2 linked regions of the Lonchura striata genome follow. The protein of the gene in region 1 purifies or fractionates together with the protein of each later gene. This does not show direct contact. Links are inferred from orthologs where the notes say so. Each region holds a gene or a part of one and is shown on either strand. Other genes may lie near its edges.

The links.
Region 2: the proteins of SYTL4 (region 1) and RAB3A purify together in Homo sapiens (affinity purification with mass spectrometry; 3 studies listed by BioGRID and IntAct, counting the BioPlex papers as one, with this or other methods). This does not show direct contact. The link is inferred for Lonchura striata from reciprocal best matches to the Homo sapiens genes SYTL4 and RAB3A.

Annotation. Positions count from the first base shown.
Region 1 is NC_134616.1:896,289-906,515, forward strand, and holds the start of SYTL4 (synaptotagmin-like protein 4), read left to right. Parts: upstream 1-5,531; 5' UTR 5,532-5,570; intron 5,571-6,328; 5' UTR 6,329-6,366; coding exon 6,367-6,476; intron 6,477-6,615; coding exon 6,616-6,831; intron 6,832-7,336; coding exon 7,337-7,446; intron 7,447-7,604; coding exon 7,605-7,719; intron 7,720-7,879; coding exon 7,880-7,987; intron 7,988-8,238; coding exon 8,239-8,353; intron 8,354-8,459; coding exon 8,460-8,550; intron 8,551-8,709; coding exon 8,710-8,813; intron 8,814-8,905; coding exon 8,906-8,992; intron 8,993-9,255; coding exon 9,256-9,434; intron 9,435-9,622; coding exon 9,623-9,725; intron 9,726-10,227. Other genes in the region: CSTF2 (cleavage stimulation factor subunit 2), read right to left, coding at 1-41, 836-914, 1,040-1,097. UniProt on the Homo sapiens protein: Modulates exocytosis of dense-core granules and secretion of hormones in the pancreas and the pituitary. Interacts with vesicles containing negatively charged phospholipids in a Ca(2+)-independent manner.
Region 2 is NC_134630.1:6,989,997-6,999,318, reverse strand, and holds the start of RAB3A (ras-related protein Rab-3A), read left to right. Parts: upstream 1-4,656; 5' UTR 4,657-4,678; coding exon 4,679-4,792; intron 4,793-6,231; coding exon 6,232-6,459; intron 6,460-7,369; coding exon 7,370-7,488; intron 7,489-7,566; coding exon 7,567-7,691; intron 7,692-8,010; coding exon 8,011-8,201; 3' UTR 8,202-9,322. Other genes in the region: PDE4C (3',5'-cyclic-AMP phosphodiesterase 4C), read left to right, coding at 147-325, 412-510, 585-749, 833-932, 1,015-1,169, 1,252-1,374, 1,540-1,722, 1,797-2,318. UniProt on the Homo sapiens protein: The small GTPases Rab are key regulators of intracellular membrane trafficking, from the formation of transport vesicles to their fusion with membranes.

The sequences.
Region 1 (10,227 bases):
CATAGCCCTTGGGCTTGCCCGTCTCCCTGTCGTACACCAGCCTGGCAGAGAAGAAAGCAACACTGCTGAGGGCACTGCGGGCAGCCCGCGGTGCCTGCCGCTCCGGGGCACACGGGGAGGTCAGCCCAAGGCACGCAGCAGTCGGGCCCACGCCAAAGCCAAAGGGCTGCTGGCTCCTGGCACGATTGGTCCCGAAGCTGCGGTGGGCAGTGCCAGCTGTGTGCCTGCCATGACCCCTAGGATGGGACTGGCTGCTCCCAGAACTATTAAAACCTGAACTGACAGCTCTCCAGAGCCTGGTGCACTGTGGGGGCACAGGGATGGCAGTGTGGAGCACAGAGCCTGACCGGCACCTGAGCACTTATCAGGCACAGCAGGGCAGCTCCTCCAGCCCAGAGCTGCATGCCCACAGCCACCTGCTGTACCCGGGGCACTGTGCTCCATCTACAGGTGACCCTGGCACAGCCACCGCGTCCCTCTGCCCCGAGCACATCTGGCACAGCCTCACAACCCCCGCAGCTGCTGCTCTCTGTGAGGAAACGGCCTGGAGGGGCCCGAGGTTTAGACGGGACATCAGGTGAAGTTCCCTCGCCAAAGCGGTTGTCAAGCAGCAGAACGGGCAGTGGCCGAGTCACCGTCCCGCGGGTGGCCAGAAGCGGGGTGCATGTGGCACCTGGGGGCACGGTGGGCTGGCAGCGCTGAGGGAGCGGTGGGGCTGGGTGGCTTTAGGGGCCTTTCCCAGCGTTAAGGATTCCCGATCCCACGGCTCCAAGGCCGGCGCCGCGGAGCCCGCGGGGCTCGGTCCGCGCCGAGCACGGGGACCGGGCGCTCTCACCTGAAGCTGACCACGGGCCCAACCTCCGAGAAGATGTCCTTCAGCTGCTCCTCCGTGGCCTCATAGGGGATGTTCCCCACTGCGGAGACAGACGGTGCCGCCGGTCAGCGCGGCGGGTACCGGCCCCGACGGCGAGGGGCAAAACCCGCCGGCCCCCGCCTGCCCTGCCCGTCCGTGCCCGTTTCCCCGTGCAGGCGGCCTCACCGAACACGGAGCGCAGGGAGCGATCCACGGCGGGGTCCCGCACCGACAGCCCCGCCATCGCGCCGCCCGCGCCGCTTCCGGTCCGCACCGACCGCGCTTCCGCTTCCACGGCGGCGCCGCTGCCAAAGCGCTCCGGCGGGAAACCGGCGCCGCCGGCCGCGGGCTGCGTGCCGGCACTGCCCGGGACTGCGAACGGGATTGCCCGGGACCGGGAACGGGACTGCCCGGCACCGGGAACGGGACTGCCCGGGACCGCGAACGGACTGCCCGGGACGCGAACGGGACTGCCCGGGACTGCGAACGGACTGCCCGGGACGCGAACGGGCTGCCGCGGCCTCGGGGATCGCCGGCACCGGGAGCGGCCTCGGGGATTCCCTCGGCCTCAGGGATGCCGCTCGGGCACAGCCCCCGCCGGGCCTGACCCCGCTCGGGGCTCGGCAGGATGGCAGCCGCGGAGGTGCCCGCGCTGGCCACGGAGCGCAGGTTCGCCCAGCGCCTCAGGTGAGGCCCGGGGCAGCGAGGGCAGCGGGGCCTGTGCTCCGGCACGATGGGGGCAGCGGTCCCCGTGCTGTCCGGGGCCAGCCGCGGGCTCTGAAGGGCCTCTCCCCGCAGGGAATGCCTGGAAGAGGAGCGGCTCCTGGACGGGCGCTACCGGCTGCAGCGGCTGCCGGGCGGCCGCGTGGCCGTGCCCGTGCTGGAGGAGAAGCTGTCGCAGCTCTGCCTGCCCGCGGAGATGCCCTGTGAGCTGCTCCGGATCCAGGTTGGCACAGCCGGCCGGCTGCGAGCCCCGGGCGCTGTCTGAGCCCCGGGCCCCCGCGGCACGGCCCTGCCGCAGGATGCTGTCCCCTCCAGGGCCGCCCGCCGCCGCCCGCCGGCCCGCAGGCTGCTCCAGGAGCTGCGGCGGCTGCTGCCCGCCGGCTGGCCCGCCGAGCTGGAGCGGGACCTGCCGCACGCCTGGCAGCGCCACGGCGACCTGGTGCTGCTCAGCGAGGACAGCTTCAGCCACCCGGCCTGGGAGCGCCTGGGTAAGCGCTGGGACACGGGTGAAAAATCCAACCCTACAATGCTAACAAAGATTCGTAGGCAACGGTGTGTTTATTCACAGTGTTGTGGATGCCCTTTAATGGACATGCACACTTCTGAAAACTCTTATCTTTTTCTATTATCATGACTAATTTCTAGTCAGGGTAATAAAAATTATTATGAAAATTCTAGTCGAGGTAATTTCCTGCATGCATAGAATTTTACAATAGGTTCATGCATATTCATTCTGCTGATTTTGTGTTATATTTACAGTTAGTTACACTTCTACTTAGTTTTTGTTAGAAGGTATAGAAAACTTTTGGGTTACTCTGCTTTTTAAATCTGAGGAGTTTTTCTTATCTCTTCTTTAGTTAAGACAACTTTGCTAGTGCTGTAGTTACTAGACTAAATAACATATTTCACTTAAGTTAGTAAGCTCAAAGGAGTGCATTTTACTTAAATCTAAACGAATTTCTGCTCTGTTAAATTTTTACTGTGTCTCACTGCCCGCGCCTCCCGGGGTGCTGTGTTGCAGGCCCGGAGCTCTGGGAGACGGTGGCCTCGGCTCTGGGGGCCCGGCGGGTGGCCAGGCGAGGACGGGTGATGCCGGACGGGATGCGGACCCCCAGCGTCACCCTGCTGCTGGGCCAGCACGGCTGGGTGGAGCGCGTGGACAACGGCATCAGGTGGGCAGGAGATGCAGGATGCGGCTTCTGGGGAAGGGGCTGCCCTCACCATCTGGGCCGGGTCTTCCAGGTACACCTTCGATGTGACCAAGTGCATGTTCTCCCCGGGCAACATCACGGAGAAGCTGCGTGTGGCCTCACTGCCCTGCTCCGGGGAGGTCGTAGTGGATCTCTATGCAGGTAATGGGGACGGAGGAGGAGCAGGACAGGTGCTGATGGCATCCAGGTAGACAGGAAATGTCATTTCCAGCTTGGAATGAAAAATACTCAGGCTTAGAGCTCCTATCTTGTCTGTGAGGCCTTCAGCTACACTGGCACTGCTGTCCTGCCTGTGTCCCTGCAGCCTCTGGACACTTAAGATGTCCTGTTCTCAGGCTCTGTGCCTTGTGCTGGTTTGGGGAATCACTTTGATCCAGGGTAAAGATTTGCCACTGTTTGTGCTTAAGGAAGTTAGTGCTTCCAATTTGTGCCACACTGAAAGGACAATGCCACCCACAAAACTCCTGTGGATTAATCAAAAGAAATGGTAATCTGGACACTTCTGCAGAGCCAGACAGATCTCAGCCTGGTGGCCAAAGACTGAAGGTTAAATAATCTCCTCTAAACATTTTTCAAGGCAAAATTTGCTTTTGCACAAGAGGGAGGGATAAATTCCCATTTTTCCAGTGTTTGGGCTTTTTCCAACCCAGAGCAAAGCCGAGTTGGAGAGGCAGGGTGTCAGTGTGCATCCTGCCCTGCCCTCGGGGAGGAGTGTGGCTCTCTGGAGGTCCCTGTCCCCAGTCAGTGCCACCTCCTGCCTGCAGGCATCGGCTATTTCACGCTGCCGTTCCTGGTGCACGCGGGAGCCGCCTTTGTCCATGCCTGTGAGTGGAACAGCCACGCCGTGGAGGCCCTGCACAGGAGCCTGGTGCTGAACGGGGTGCGGGACCGCTGCCGCATCCACGGCGGGGACAGCCGGCAGGTGAGCGCTGCCGCCGGCCGCGGGAGCCCTTCCCGCGGGCATCCCCTCACCTCCGCTCTCCTCCCAGCTGCAGCTGCGCGATGTGGCGGACAGGGTGAACCTGGGGCTGCTTCCCAGCTCGGAGGAAGGCTGGCCGGTGGCCTGCCGCGTCCTGAAGAAGGACACGGGCGGGGTTCTGCACATCCACCAGAACGTGGAGGCTCGCCCGGCGCACGCCGCGGTGCTGCTGGCTGAGCGGGGCTCCGCAGAGGCAGCCAGCTCCGCGGGAGAGGCGTGGCACCCGGTGGAGCACAGTGAGCAGGAGGCACTGGGGGCCAGGCTCAGACCCGAGTGGCAGCGGTGGGCTGCAGCCACGGCCGCACGGATCCAGGGGCTGCTGGCAGAGCTGCACGGGCGGCCGTGGTGCTGCAGCATCCTGCACATCGAGGCAGTGAAGTCCTACGCACCACACGTGCATCACCTCGTGCTGGACCTCGAGTGCCGGCCTGTGCTGCCCGTTTAGCGGGACATGGGCACCGCTGGGGCTCCAGATCCCTTGGAAGGCTGGTGTCAAAGCACGAGGGGCAGAGACATGCTGCCAGTGTGTCCTGCTGCCAGCCTGGATGTGCCTTATGTTCCCTAGTTCCCAGGTGGCAGCACTGCCCAGCAGTGCCTCCCTGTGCCAGGGCACCCAGGGTTGTGCTCCACACGGCAGATCCCTTCATGATCCAGACAAAGATGGAGCAAGCTGGAGTGCAGACTGCCAGTGTTCTGTCCTGGCTCTGCCAGCTGCTGCCCAGGTCTTGGACACGTGGTAGCACCTTGAGCCCCATTTTCACACAGGAGAGAGCCACAGTGCTGAGAAACCTTGGGTTCCTGCTGGGTTCATTTCGGCAAGTCAGGGACAAGCTTGGTGCTTGTATTTAGCAGCATGCTTTTTTAATGTACTTGAAGCAAGTCTGTTCATCCTGTTTCCTTCCTATCTTTTTTTCAGAAATAAAGATGTTTCTCACCACCTCTTGGTGTCCAGTCAAAACGTGAACTTTGGAGCAAGCATGGGGGTCTGGCCTGGGGACTTTGGGTCCCAGGGTGGTGTGCGGAGGGGCTCAGGGAGCAAAGCCTCTGTGGCATTGTCTTCCTGCAAGCCCAAAGCCCTCTGCATATTTATTGTGTACTCCCGATGGAGCGAACCCCTGCCGCACAAGGAAGTTCCCGCTGGCCCTTTGATGTCTCCGTGGTTTTTTCCACTATCAGTGTCCCATCACTTCCCACAGGGCTGGAAGCCTCCGGCTCTCCCATCCCTGGGGCGCGGCCGAAAGCGAGGGCAGAGCCGCGTCCTCTCGTTTGCCTTGGGGCTGCACGCAGGTGGCTCCGCGCTGTCCTGCGTGGCGAGCAGCCGCCTCCCCGCGGGTGGAGCCCCACGCCTCGGCCAGCCGCGAGTGCTCGGGCTCCCCGGTGCTGTGCTGCGGGGGGCAGGGACGAGGCGCCCTGCGGGGACGGTATCTCTGCCACGAAGGACAAGGGCAGGGCCGGAGCCTTGCGGCGGGAGGACGCCACGGCCGCGGCCCTGGGCTGCTCCGCGGGCACGCCGGGGAGTCCCCCGCAGTTCGGGTGTCGGTGCGCTCTCTGCTCGTCGGGAGAAGCCACCCACCCAGTCAGGGCCATGGGGCACCGGGGACACCGGCCCGCGGGGCTGGAGCCGCAGCTGTTCCGGGGCTGCTCGGGCGGGGAAGGGCTGGAGGGAGCGGGCACCGCCTCCCGCACGGGCCGCCCCGTCCGTGCCGCAGGTGCGGCCGCCGCGGCTCCTTTAAGGCACCGGCGCCGCCCTCCGCTGCCGCTGTCCCCTCCCGCTGCCGGGAGGCGCCGGCCGGAGCCGCTGCAGGTACCGGGACGGTCGTGGGATCGGGCGGGGGTACCGAGGGTTCCTCCGCGGACGGGGCAGGACGGGGGTCCCTCGGCTGCAGGGGAGTCGGGGGTAGCCAGGGGTCCCTCTGTGGTCCGGCGGTCCAGCCGCGGTGTCCCGGGCGGGGGCAGTTCCCAGCCCCGGTGGCCGCGCTGCGAACGCGGCGCTCCCGGCCCCGGATCCCACTTTTCCCGACAGAGAGGAGCCTGGGGTCCGCCCCGCCGCCCCCTCCTCCCCGAGGGCCGCCGGAGCGCGGCTGCGGGCACAGGAAGGTCCCTGCCGGTTCCGCCGGGCCGGGCGGGAGCGGGGAGCGGTGCAGCCCCCGAGCCAGCGCCGCGGCTCCGTCCCGGCTGGAGCGGCCGCGGCCGCCCGGCTCCTGGTGCCGCCGCCTGCGAGCCGGATCCGGCCGTGCCGCCCTGGTGCGTGTCCGCTCCCGGCGGCTCCTCGGGCTCGGGCAGCTCCGAGCCCCGCGGCGTTCGTGGGAGGGGCGGCCCGGGGCGGCTCCTTCCTGCCGGGGCTGCCCGCGGGTGCTGCGCGTCAGCCCGGTCCCACGGAGCCGGCTGAGGTCAGCGGGGCGGCGGGGCTGGCAGGCGGCCCGAGCCCAGCCCGGGGCAGGGCGGCGGAGGCGGCGGGCGGGCCGGTGTCCTGGGTGCCGCCAGCGCCGGGTCCAGCCCCGGCAGCGGGCACGGGGCACCTCGCGGGGCGCGACCCGCGCTCAGCAGCTGGCATGTCCCTAGCTGGCGTGCGCTGAGGGCCAGCCATCGCGGGCGCAGCGATGTCGGAGGCTGTGGACCTGTCCTTCCTGTCGGACGTGGAGAGAGATCTGATCCTGCAGGTCCTGCAGCGCGACGAGGAGCTCCGCAAGGCAGAGGAGAGGAGGATCAGGTGCGAACGCGGCTGGAGCTGGGCAGGAGCTGCCTCCCCGCTATGCTCTGGAGGCGGGTGGATGAGCGAGAGCGTGGGTGACGGGTGTCGCCGGGGTCCCGGGGCGCCTCTGACAGCTCCCGGTGTCGGCTCTGGGCAGGCGCCTGAAGAACGAGCTGCTGGAGATCCGGCGCAAGGGAGCCAAGCGGGGCAGCCAGCGCTACAGCGAGCGGACCTGCGCCCGCTGCCAGCAGAGCCTGGGCCGCGTCAGCCCCAAGGCCAACACCTGCCGGGGCTGCAACCACTTGGTGTGTCGGGACTGCCGTTCCTACAGCCCCGGCGGCTCCTGGCGCTGCAAAGTCTGCACCAAGGAGGCGTGAGTAGCCAGGACCAGTGGCAGGCACATTGTGCACATGCCTCCTTTCCCCTTCCTCCTCTCAGTTGCCTCAACTTGTTGCCCCATAGCCAGCCTTTCCTAGCCTGGCTGGTCCTCCCCAGTGCAGGGCAGCTTGCTCTGCTGTCACTCCTGTGTTTGGGTGATGGAAAAATGGGTCATACCCCTCTCTTGTGTCTCCTTCATGTCCTGCTCCTTCACCTGAACTAACTGCAGCATCCCCCTGTGCCCTTGCACAGCTGTGTTCCAAGCACCCCAGGCTTCCTCCCTTTTGGCTTCCTCTGTCCTACAAAACTTGCCTTGCTGCCGTGTTTGCTGAGGATGTAGCTGAGCCTGTCAACTGCCCGGTGAATGGTCCCTGCCCAGTCACCTGCTGATTTTGCCCACTGTGCCTGTGTTCTCGGGTTGTGGCAGCACCGAGGGTGGGTTGGGGCACAGCTGACAGTCCCTACTGCCCCTGACTGCCCCCACCACCCCTGCCCTGCAGTGAGCTGAAGAAGGCAACGGGTGACTGGTTCTATGACCAGAGGGTGAACCGCTTTGCCAACCACCTGGGCAGCGACATGGTGCGGCTGTCCCTGCGGCACAGGCCGGCAGGTAGGGGTGCCACAGCAAGGCCTTCTCCCACAGCCCAGCCACGTGGGATGCTCCAGCTTTCCCCAGTGCATCTCTGCCCAGTGTGGAGCTGGATGGGAGCAGCTCCTGCTCCAAGCAGTGAGCTTGGAGCAGTGCTCCTCATGATGCCTCTCTTGCAGCCAACAAAAGAGAGACTGTGGGATATACTCTCCTCCAGAAAGCCCAGCTCAGTGAGCCTAAAAGCTCCTCTGCAGTCCGGCAGCCGAGCCCCCCTGCACCCCGGGAGGGGTCCAGGTAGGAATCCCTGCTGTCCCCCGTGCTCCAGGCAGCAGCTCTCATCTGCTGCAGGTTTGAGAGGAAGCTCTGCCCTGTGCGGATCATCGGTGGTGCAGGAGCTCTCTCAGACCGACCTCCTCACCAAACAGGACATACCTGTGGTTTTGCTTGTCTGCAGTTTGTTTCCAGATGCCTCAGACCCTAGGGATGGCAAAAGCGACACAGAGTCCATGGAAAACATGAGCCTGGACAGCTACAAACCTAGTCCTGCTGATGTGGGCGGCAGGTGAGAGGATCCCAGGGGGGCTTGTCTTTGGCAAGACTGGCTGGCAGAGGATGGGACCTTCATCTGAAGTGTGTTTTTCTCAGTCTAGTAGGGGGAAGCTGGCTCCTCTGGCTGGGCTGAAGCCTGTCCCTGGGCAGGAAGATCCTCTGCTCCCAGGCTGCTACGGGCAGCTCAAGTGGCGCTTCCTGGCCAGCACTTGCTCTGCCAGCTGTGCTTGTGGTCTGGGACAGACCTTTCTGTGTTTGCCACAGGAGGAACTCCCTGGAGAGAGCCATCCCTGGAAAACAGGTTGTTGGGCCAGCAGGACCTGCTTCCTCCAGCCTGACCCTCCCTCTCCGCTCCAAGAACGCGTTCTCTGACGGGCGGGTGCGTGACGCTGCTCCGACAGGCTCAGCCCTGTCCTGGGGCGTGGGGCTGGCACCCCACAGGGCTCCTAGCCCTGCCCTGCTCTCAGGGGACTCTTCCTTCCCAGGATGCCACCGTGGGGACCCGCAGCAGCACCTTGGTGGATGAACATGAAATGATATTCCAGAAGAACCCCCGGCGGGTGGTGCGGCCTGCGGGTGAGAGATGCTGACACGGCCAGGGGTGGGCAGCTCCTCCTCCCTGGGCTGGGAAGGGCTTTCAGTGCAGATGGGAGAGGCTGGGGCAGCCTCTTGTGCGAGGGAGCAGCGGGGCTCTGCTGGTCCTGCTCCGTGCGCTGTTCACCGCCTCTCGTGCAGACTACACCAAGTCCGTGATCGACCTGCGCCCCGAGGACCTTGTGGGGGAAGGTGGCTCTTTGGGGGACAGGAGCAAGTCAGTCCCTGGCCTCAACACGGAGCTGGTGAGACCCTCAGAGTGCCACGGCGATGGCTGCCAGCTGGAGGAGCCGCTGGCTGGCTGCTCCCCACACCGGCGGCTTCTCTGTCCTTGCAGGAGGAGGAGGAGGAGGACATCGATAACCTGGTGGAGATCCACCGGCAGCGGGTGGCGCGGGGCAGCATGCGCAGCGGCACCTCCTCGGTGAGTGCCCGCGGGGGCTGTGCTCTGCTCCGCTGCAGGGAGAGGAGCCTTGTGTGTGAGGGCTTCTCCCCTAAAAGGGATCAAAATGCAGAGAGCCAGCTCTCCTCCAGGCAGCTGTGTGCGGGAGGGAGGCACTTGTGGCCATCCCCAGCCACAGGGAGGTGAGGGGGGCCGTGCAGAAGAGGCACAGGGGTAACCTTGCTGAGGATGAGGAGGGACTGTCAGGTGATCCTGTGCCAGCTCAGCCCTGCCCTGTTTTCCAGAGCACACTGGGGAGCATGGTCAGCATTTACAGCGAGGCCGGCGACTTCGGCAGCGTGGCTGTCACCGGGGGCATCTCCTTCTCCCTGAGCTACGAGCAGAAGACACAGACCTTGTTCATTCACGTGAAGGAGTGTCGCCAGCTGGCCTACGGGGACGAGGGCAGGAAGCGCTCCAACCCGTGAGAGCCAGGGGGGCGATGGCTGTTGCCACCACTGGTGGTGCCCAGCTGGGTTGTGGGTGCCCACCAGAGATGGGAGCTGTAAGTGGGAGGGTCCTGGTGAGGCACAAGGTCTGGGGTTGCCCTGGGAAGCTCGGAGGATTAGCTTTGGAGAGACCTTGTTGAAGTGCTGCCTGTTCTCCCTTCAGGTATGTGAAGACCTACCTCCTGCCCGACAAATCCCGGCAAGGGAAACGCAAGACAACCATCAAACGCAATACCATCAATCCCCTGTACAACGAGCTGCTGAAGGTCAGGGGGGCTGGGCTGGCCTGCAGGCACCCAGGGGATGCTGCTGCAACAAGCCAGGGGAGGGCTGAGCTCCCAACCCTGCAGCAGGGTCTCTGCAGAGCACCCGTGTCCAGAGCCTGCGCCCTGAAAGCTGCAAAAGCCCTGCTCTGCTCTGGCTGTGCTGCCAGGCCCCAGTGCCACGGTGGGGTGGAGGCACAGCTGCAGATGTGGCTGTGACACAGGACACGTCCCTGGTTCCTGTGGCATTCCCCAAGCAGAGGCATCCCGGATATTTCCCTGGGTATTTCCTTCCCAGGTGAAGGCTTCCTGGCCCCTGGAGGCATGTTACAGTGGCAGGAGAGAGGGCAGCACGCCACAGGGACAGAGATAAGTTCTGGGGCCCGGGGCAGAACAACTTGGCACTGCCCTTTGCCATGCCTGTGGCTGACTCTGTCCCTGAGTGTAGCAGTGCACCTCCGAGGCCAGGCACTCTTGCACAGGAGGAAGTGAGAGCTGAGGTTTG
Region 2 (9,322 bases), on another chromosome or scaffold:
GCGTCCAGGGGTCCCCTGGCAGATGTGTGGGCTGTGGATGGGGTAAAGTGCCGCAGCCCCCCAAATTGTCACGGCGTGACCCGGGGAGACGCCGGCGGTGACGTTCGGGCTCCTGCCCTGCTCACGGCCACCCCGTGTCACCCCAGACAAGCAGCACGAGGTGGAGATCCCCTCGGCCCTGGCGAAGGACAAGGAGAAGGAGCGGAGGAAGCGCCCCATGTCGCAGATCAGCGGCGTCAGGAAGCTCAAGCACGGCTCCAGCCTGGCCGCCGCCGGCATCCCCCGCTTCGGGGTGCGCACGGACCACGAGGCGCTGCTGGCCAAGGTGGGTCCTGGCAGGGGTGACCCCCACCCCGACCGCGGGGTCCCCAGCACCAGCCCCCCATGGATCTCTGTCCCTCTGCTCCCCAGGAGCTGGAGGACACCAACAAGTGGGGTCTGGACGTGTTCAAAGTCGCCGAGTACTCGGGGAACCGCCCGCTGACCGTCATCATGTACAGCATCTTCCAGGTGAGCGTCCCACCGCGGTGTCCCCGGCCCTGGTGTGGCCGGACGGGGACGAGCCACCTCCTGCCTGCCCGCAGGAGCGTGACCTGATGAAGACCTTCCGCATCCCCGTCAACACCTTCATCACCTACATGCTGACGCTGGAGGACCACTACCACGCCGACGTGGCCTACCACAACAGCCTGCACGCCGCCGACGTGGCGCAGTCCACGCACGTCCTGCTCTCCACGCCCGCGCTGGAGGTGATTCCTGCTCACCCCAGGCCACCCGGGCGTGCCTGGCGGGGCCGTAACGTGTCCCCAACGCCTCTTCCCGCCGTTCCTAGGCTGTCTTCACGGACCTGGAGATCATGGCTGCCATCTTTGCCAGCGCCATCCATGATGTCGACCACCCCGGGGTCTCCAACCAGTTCCTCATCAACACCAGTGAGACGGGGCGCAGGGATGGACCTGGGGGATATTGGGGGACCCCAGGAGTCACCCCGGGGTGACCAGTGCCGTCTCACAGACTCGGAACTGGCCCTGATGTACAACGACGCCTCGGTGCTGGAGAACCACCACCTGGCCGTGGGCTTTAAGCTCCTCCAGGAGGAGAACTGCGACATCTTCCAGAACCTGAGCAGGAAGCAGAGGCAGACGCTCCGGAAAATGGTCATCGACATGGTATGGGGGGGCCAGAGCACCCCAGGGTGGGGTCTGCGCTGGGGGGTCAGGCTGAGACCCGTTCCCACCTCTCCCTGCCCAGGTGTTGGCCACGGACATGTCCAAGCACATGAACCTGCTGGCGGATCTGAAGACCATGGTGGAGACCAAGAAGGTGACCAGCCTGGGGGTGCTGCTGCTGGACAACTACTCTGACCGGATCCAGGTGGGGACGCGCCTGGGGAATCCTTCCCAGCGCCGCAGGTGTCCATCCTCGCTCTGGCCTGCTGGGATTTGGTGCCACCGCCACCCCAAACCCAACCGGCGGGGCCAAGCGAGCTCGTGGCATGGTGTGGGTGGCCCTGGGGGACAGAGGACACGGCGTCCGCAGGTCCTGCAGAACATGGTGCACTGCGCCGACCTCAGCAACCCCACCAAGCCCCTGGAGCTGTACCGGCAGTGGACTGACCGCATCATGGTGGAGTTCTTCCACCAAGGAGACCGGGAGCGGGAGAAGGGCATGGAGATCAGCCCCATGTGTGACAAGCACACCGCCTCCGTGGAGAAGTCCCAGGTGGGGCGGCAGCCTGGGGGACGGGGCAGGGGGACGCAGGGCCGGGCGGGGGGCTCAGCTCTGCGTCCCCCCAGGTGGGATTCATCGACTTCATCGCCCACCCGCTGTGGGAGACGTGGGCCGACCTGGTGCACCCCGACGCCCAGGAGCTGCTGGACACGCTGGAGGACAACCGGCAGTGGTACCAGAGCATGATCCCGCGCAGCCCCTCACCTCCACCCGAGCCGCCCGCGCCGTCCCCTGCCAGCACCGACAAGTTCCAGGTCGAGCTGACGCTGGAGGAGGAGGAGGAGGAGGAGGGTGAGTCGGACACGGAGCTGGAGGGCGCCGAGAGCCCCTTGGATGAGGACAACAGCGGCTCCAAGACACCGGGCACGGATGACTCGGAGCCTGCCCACGCCAAGCGCCTGTCCCCCGGCCCCGGCGACCGGGACTCGCCTGTCCCCCGCCCCAGGGACGTGGACAACCGGCAGGCGCTGCAGGGGACGCTGCCCAAGGACGGTGGCAGCGGGTGCTCGGTGCCAGGGCCCGCGGGCAGCCAGGGGCTGTGCCTGGACACAGAGGGCAACGTCACATTCCTGTCCCTGGGCACGTAGCGCCACCGGCCCGGGGGTCCCCTGGCTGCCGGGGGGACGTGGGACTGGGCACGGCCCTGGGGACAGCGGGGAGCTGGCACTGGGCAGCACTGGCACTGCAGGAGCTCGGTTTACCTGGGACGCTTCCCCATTCAGGACCTGCACAGGTCCTGGCAGGTAGGAGGACGCTGCTGGTCTCCCCGGGCAAGGGCCCTGTCCCCTTCAGCCGGGGCGTGGGGACACCCCAGCCCTGGGGACATCACGGCCCAGGGGCTGCAGCAAGGAGCATTCCAGCGCCTTTCCGGGTGTCCCCTTGCAGGAGGGCAGCCCCGTGGTGGGACGAGGTGGGCAGAGGGTGCTGGCGACACCCCCAGCACCAGGCACCGGCGCACGGCACGGGCACGGCTCAGAGCTTTATTTATTTGGGGATGGGTTCACTTTTTAAAGCCTTTTGTAGCTCACTTTTTACTACGGGCCTCCCCGAGGCACGCACGCATTTTTTGGGGGGCGGAAAGATGCAATTTTTTCGGGGAGGAAACTTGCATTTCTGCTCTGCGATCGCTCCAAATGCCATTTGCATTTCACATTTGGGACCTTGGCGGGCGCTGTCACCAACCCCCTCACCTCCATCTCCGCTGTCCTGCCTGGGGCAGGGTCCTTTGGGATTCTTCTTCACCTCCCAGAGATTAAACCCGGTTTGTTCCACCCTAAACACGAGCCTCGTAAGCGCCTCTTTGTGTCACGGGAGCCGCAGCCGATGTCCCCAGGGAGCGCAGCGGTGGTTGGTGGCACCGGGCAGGGCCAGGCTCGGTGCTGGAACAAAATCCAGCTCCTCCCTGGAAACGCCGATCCATCACCGGCAAACACGACCTGCTAAGGTAAATATTTAATCGCCGGCTTGGCGCGGTGCGGAGCCCGTTCCCGGCTCTTCCGCGTTGCTCCCCACGCTGATTTATCTCCACAAACACGTCCCCACCCACGGCGCTGCCCTGGCACCTGGGGCCCTCGCCCCCTGCCCGCCCTGGCAGCAGCGGGGCCTCGGGAGCTGCCGGTTCTTCCCCAGCCCAAACCTCCTGCAGGGCCCTGCACGGCGTGGCCGTGGCTCCGGGCCAGCCCTGCTGGGTGCTGGGGTCCCCTTGTCTCTCCAGAGGCTCTCCAATTCCCCGAATCCAGAGCCAGCCCGGACTCTGCCAGGCTGGAGCGGGGCAGCTGGAAAAAGCCCTTTTTTCCCCCATTTCTGGCTGAGGGGCTGTTGGCTGGGGAAGGTGATGGAAAATGGCCACAGCAGCCTGGCTCCATCCCTAATTCTGGAACCATCCCTAATTCTGGATCCATCCCTGAGCCTGGATCCATCCCTGAGACTGGATCCATCCCTGAGCCTGGATCCATCCCTAATTCTGGCTCCATCCCACAGCTGGCTCCATCCCACAGCTGGATCCATCCCTAATTCTGGATCTGTCCTATAGCTGGACCCATCCCTAATTCTGGCTCCATCCTACAGCTGGTTCTATCCCTAATTCTGGCTCCATCCTACAGCTGGATCCACCACTAATACTGGATCCATCCCTAATTCTGGATCTGTCCTAAAGCTGGACCCTCCCCAATTCTGGATCCATCCCTGAGTCTGGATCCATCCCTAATTCTGGATCCATCCCTGATTCTGGCTGCATCCTACAGCTGGCTCCATCCCTAATTCTGGCTCCATCCCTAATTCTGGCTCCATCCCCAATTCTGGCTCCATCCCCAATTCTGGCTCCATCCCTGATTCTGGCTCCATCCCCGTGTCCAGCTCGGTGCCCCCGGGGCCGGGGGTGTGGGATGAGCCGGGGCAGGAGGCAGGAGCGGCAGCGGGAGGGAAGGCACGGGGCCGGGCCGGGCCGGGCGGAGCCGTGCGGTGCCCGGAGGCTCCGGGCAGGACCGGGAGGCTCCGGGCCGGGCCGGGCGGTGCCGTGCCCCGGGGCCGCCATATGCTGCCGGCCCTAATCCCGCCGGAGCCTCAGGGCGGCGGAGGACATGGCCGCCCACCTGCGCACCGGCCCCGCCTCAGTGCCAGCCGCCCCGCCACGGCACGGATCGGCCTGCCCGCCACCGCCGGCCTCGGGGAAGGCGTCGCGATAGGCGCCATGTCGCGACAGGGAGGCTGTCAAAACTCGCCCCCCCCCTTTTGGGCGGGAATGGTTCGCCCCGCACCCCCGCCGGCGCAGGGGTGGTTCATCCCGCGGCCCGCGCAGCGCGGCCGGACCGCACCACTGCGCGCTGCCGGAGGGGGGGGGCGGCGCCCACCACCGCGCCGGGAGGGGGGGGTCTCCTCCCCCGCGTCCGCCCGCCGTCCATCAAAGCGCGCCGCCGAGCCAATCAGCGCCTCCCTCAGGGGCGCGCCCATGACGTGCGAGCTGATTTACATAAGAGGGCCCCGCCCCTCTGCCGACGTCACCCGCGCTCCGCATCTGCTGCAGTCGCTGCGGGGAGGAGGCGGCGGCGCGAGCGCGGCAGAGGTGAGACCCCCCCCCCCCACCCCCAACCGGGACCCCACCCCACCACCCCTCAAACCGGGACCCCCCCCCCCCGAGACCCCCCCGAGCCCCCTCCGTGACCCCCCGGTACGGGCGGGGAGGGGCGGCTGCAGTGGAGGAGGGGGGGGTGATGATGATGATGATGATGATGATGATGGTGGATGCGGCGCGGGGGGGGGCTGCGCAGGGCCTGGGGGGGGGTCTCGGTGCGGCGGGGACCGAGTGGGTGCAGCGGGATCGGGCCTGCGGGGAGGAGCAGGGGGTGACCCCCCCCTCCCCATCAGCCCCGTGTGAACGTCGTGTCAGCACCCTGAGCCCCGCTGTGAGCACCCTGACCCCCCCATCAGCACCCTGACCCCCCTTATTAGCACCTCGACCCCCCTTATCAGCACCCTGACCCCCGCTATGAGCACCCTGACCCCCGCTATGAGCATCCTGACCCCCCTTATCAGCACCTCGACCCTCCCTTATCAGCACCCTGACCCCCCCTGTGAGCACCCTAGCCCCGCTATGAGCACCAGGACCCCCCCATCAGCACCCTGACCCCCCCTTATCAACACCTTGACCCCCCTTATCAGCACCCTAGCCCCCCTCCTTGCAGTACTCTGCCCCCCCACCCCTCAATCAGCACCCTGTGCACCCCCCATCACCATCCTGAACCCCTCCCTTGCATCACTGCACCCCCTCCCAAAACATCAGCACCCCAAAACCCCCATCAGCACCCCAAAGCCCTCATCAGCACCACGCGCACCCCGCATCCCCTCTGCCCAGCATCCCTGTGCTCCACCCTGGGCAAGCCGGGCTCTGTGCCCCCTTGCCTGGCATCGCCCTCCCCACGGTGCCCGGTGCCACCCCCGGCTCCTGGTGCCACCCCCGGTGCCCGGTGCCACCCCCGGTGCCCGGTGCCACCCCCGGCTCGCAACCGCGCTGGCCACGCCGTGCGGGGGCTCCGCCGCCGGTGCCATTTTGTCACCGGGAAGATGCGGGAGAGGCTGCGGCGCCCCGGCCGCACCCGCAACGCCACGGCAACATCACGGCAGATCCCAGGAGCCGCGGCAGATCCCAGGAACTGCAGCAGATCCTGGTGGCCGTGGCAGATCCCAGCAGCCGTGGCAAATTCCCGGCAGCCGCGGCAGATCCCGGCAGCCGTGGCAGATCCCGGCAGCCGTGGCAGATCCTGGAATCCACAGCAGATCTCTGGGGCCGTGGCAAACCCCGCGGGCCGCGTGCCCCACATCTGCTGTGGACACGCCGCGGTTCCTGCTCAGGGGGTGACGGTGACGGGAGGTGACCTCTGCCAGCCCCTCGGGGCCGAGTGACCCGTCGCTGGCCACGCCGTCGCCCATCCCGAACCAAAATCTCCCCGAAGCGATGCCTGGCACCGCCGCCGGCGCCGTCACGGCCTCTCCTCCACCTTGCAGATGGCGTCCGCTACCGACTCCCGCTACGGGCAGAAGGAATCCTCGGACCAGAACTTCGATTACATGTTCAAGATCCTGATCATCGGCAACAGCAGCGTGGGGAAAACCTCCTTCCTGTTCCGGTACGCCGACGACTCCTTCACGCCCGCCTTCGTCAGCACCGTCGGCATCGACTTCAAGGTCAAGACCATCTACCGGAACGACAAACGCATCAAGCTGCAGATCTGGGTGAGGGGAGAGCCTGGGCGTGCCCCTGGAGCCCTGGGGTGGGGTGGGGTGGTGGATGGTGGGGGTGGTGGTCAGTGTGGGGTGTGGTCAGTGTGGGGTGGTGGTCAGTGAGGGTGGTGGTGTGGGGACTGACGGTCACTGTGGGCTGACGGTCACTCTGGGATTATAGTGACAGTCACTTTGGGGTGATGGTCACGGTCACTGTGGGGTGATGGTCACTCTGGGGTGGTGGTCACAGTCACTCTGGGCTGATGGTCACTGTGGGGTGATGGTCACTGTGAGGTGATGGTCACAGTCATTCTGGGCTGATGGTCACTCTGGGGTGACGGTCACGGTCATTCTGGGCTGATGGTCACTCTGGGCTGACAGTCACCCTGGGCTGATGGTCACTCCGGGGTGATGCTTGCCTGGGTGATGATGGTCACTGTGCTGATGGTCACTCTGGGGTGACGGTCACTCCGGGGTGATGGTCACGGTCACCCTGGGCTGATGGTCACCCTGGGCTGATAGTCACCCTGGGCTGATGGTCACTCTGGGCTGATGGTCACTCTGGGCTGACGGTCACCCTGGGCTGACGGTCACCCTGGGCTGATGATCACTCTGGGCTGATGGTCACCCTGGGCTGACGGTCACCCTGGGCTGATGGTCACCCTGGGCTGATGATCACTCTGGGCTGATGGTCACCCTGGGCTGACGGTCACCCTGGGCTGATGGTCACCCTGGGCTGATGGTCACCCTGGGCTGACGGTCACCCTGGGCTGATGCTCGCCTGGGTGATGATGGTCACTGTGGAGCTGCCCCACCAGGGCGATTCCAGGGTGGGTTTGGATCTGCCCCCATGGAGCCGCTGGCCCAGGGGGTGTCCCCACAGCGCGGGGGTGACGCTCTGCTGTCCCCTGTGCCCGGGCAGGACACGGCCGGGCAGGAGCGGTACCGCACCATCACCACCGCCTACTACCGCGGCGCCATGGGCTTCATCCTCATGTACGACATCACCAACGAGGAGTCCTTCAACGCCGTGCAGGACTGGTGAGCACGGGGGGCTCTGGGCACCCCCGGCCGCCCCCTCCCCACGCCCCTGACCCACCTCGCCCTCCCTCCCCCAAGGTCCACCCAGATCAAGACCTACTCCTGGGACAACGCCCAGGTCCTGCTGGTGGGGAACAAGTGTGACATGGAGGATGAACGCGTGGTCTCCTCGGAGAAGGGCCGCCAGCTCGCCGAGCACCTGGGTGAGCTGGGGAGGGGGAACCTCCCACCGTGGCTGCCAGGCTTGCAATTAATTTAATTAAGGGCTTAATTCCCTTCGTGTAACCGCTGCGCTCCGACATCGGCGGTGAGAAACCACGGGGTCGCTGCACGCCTTGGACGCTCCGCCAGATGCTGGGGGGAGGATTTGGGGGGGTTCTTTGGGTGGGAAAAACGGGATTTTGTGGCTGGCGGGTCGCAAACCTTTTGAATATTGAAGGAGGAGGAGCAGCAGCCGCGCGGAGCCGGAGCTTTGATGCGTGTCCCTTGTCCCTCTGTCCCTCCCGCCCACCCCAAATCCAGGCTTTGAGTTTTTCGAGGCCAGCGCCAAGGACAACATCAACGTGAAGCAGACCTTCGAGCGGCTGGTGGACATCATCTGCGAGAAGATGTCGGAGTCGCTGGACACGGCCGACCCCGCCGTCACCGGCGCCAAGCAGGGCCCCCAGCTCACGGACCAGCAGGCCCCCCCCCACCAGGACTGTGCCTGCTAGGGGCCAGCCCCCCAAAAACCCCCCCAAAAAACCGGTCAGTGCACCCCAAACCCCACCCCGGCCCCGCCCCGAGCTCCTCCTCTTGGGGGTCCCGCGGGGGCTTTTGCTGCTGATACCTCCGAAAGGGCTGCGGCCCCTCTAGGAGCCCCCCACCCCAATTCATTAGGCTATGCCCCCCCCCACCCCTTAATTTATTTTTAAGCCTGGGCTGGTAGAAAACTCCCCCCCTGCCCCACCTCATTCTGCTTTGAATCACTGTCGAGAAACCATCACCCCCAGCCCCATCTCCCCTGGAGACCCCCACCCTGTCCTGGCACCCCCTGTCCTGGAGACCCCCCTGTCCTGGGACCCCTGTCCTGGGACCCCTGTCCGGGGACCCCCACCCCTTTTCCTGCTCTGGAACCCCCTGTCCTGGGGATCCCCCTGCCCTGGGCCCCTGTCCTGAGACCCCTGCCCTGGAGACCCCCCCCACCCCTTTTTCTGCTCTGGAATCCCCTGTCTTGGGACCCCCACCCCTTTTTCCTGGGCTGGGGTTTCCCCTGCCCTGGTCCCCCCCCTGCTCTGGAACCCACTGTCCTGGGGACCCCCCTACCCTTTTTCCAGCCCTGGGACCCCCTGTCCTGTTATTCCTGTCCTAGGACCCCCCCACCCCTTTTCCTGGTCTGGGACCCCTGTCCTGGGACCCCCCACCCCTTTTTCCTGTCCTGGGACCCCCTGCTCTGGTCCCCCCCATCTCTGGAACCCCCTGTCCTGGGGATCCCCCTACCCTGGGACCCCTGTCCTGAGACCCCCCCCCCACTTCTTTCCTGCTCTGAAACCCCTGTCCTGGGACCCCCACCCCTTTTCCTGCTCTGTCCTGGGACCCCCCACCCTTTTCCTGCTCTGGAACCCTTATCCTGGGACCCCCCACCCCTTTTTCCTGCTCTGGAACCCCCTGTCCTGGGGATCCCCCTACCCTGGGACCCCCTTCCCAGTGTGTGGGTGCTGTGACAGGACCCCCCCAAATCCCCCCAGCCTTTTCCCCGAGAGCTCCTGGAGCAGGGGGCTCTCTGTGCCCGGCTTCCCTGCCCCTCCAGCTGGATGGATATTTCCTGACTCTTGTTTATTTGTATAAATAGATG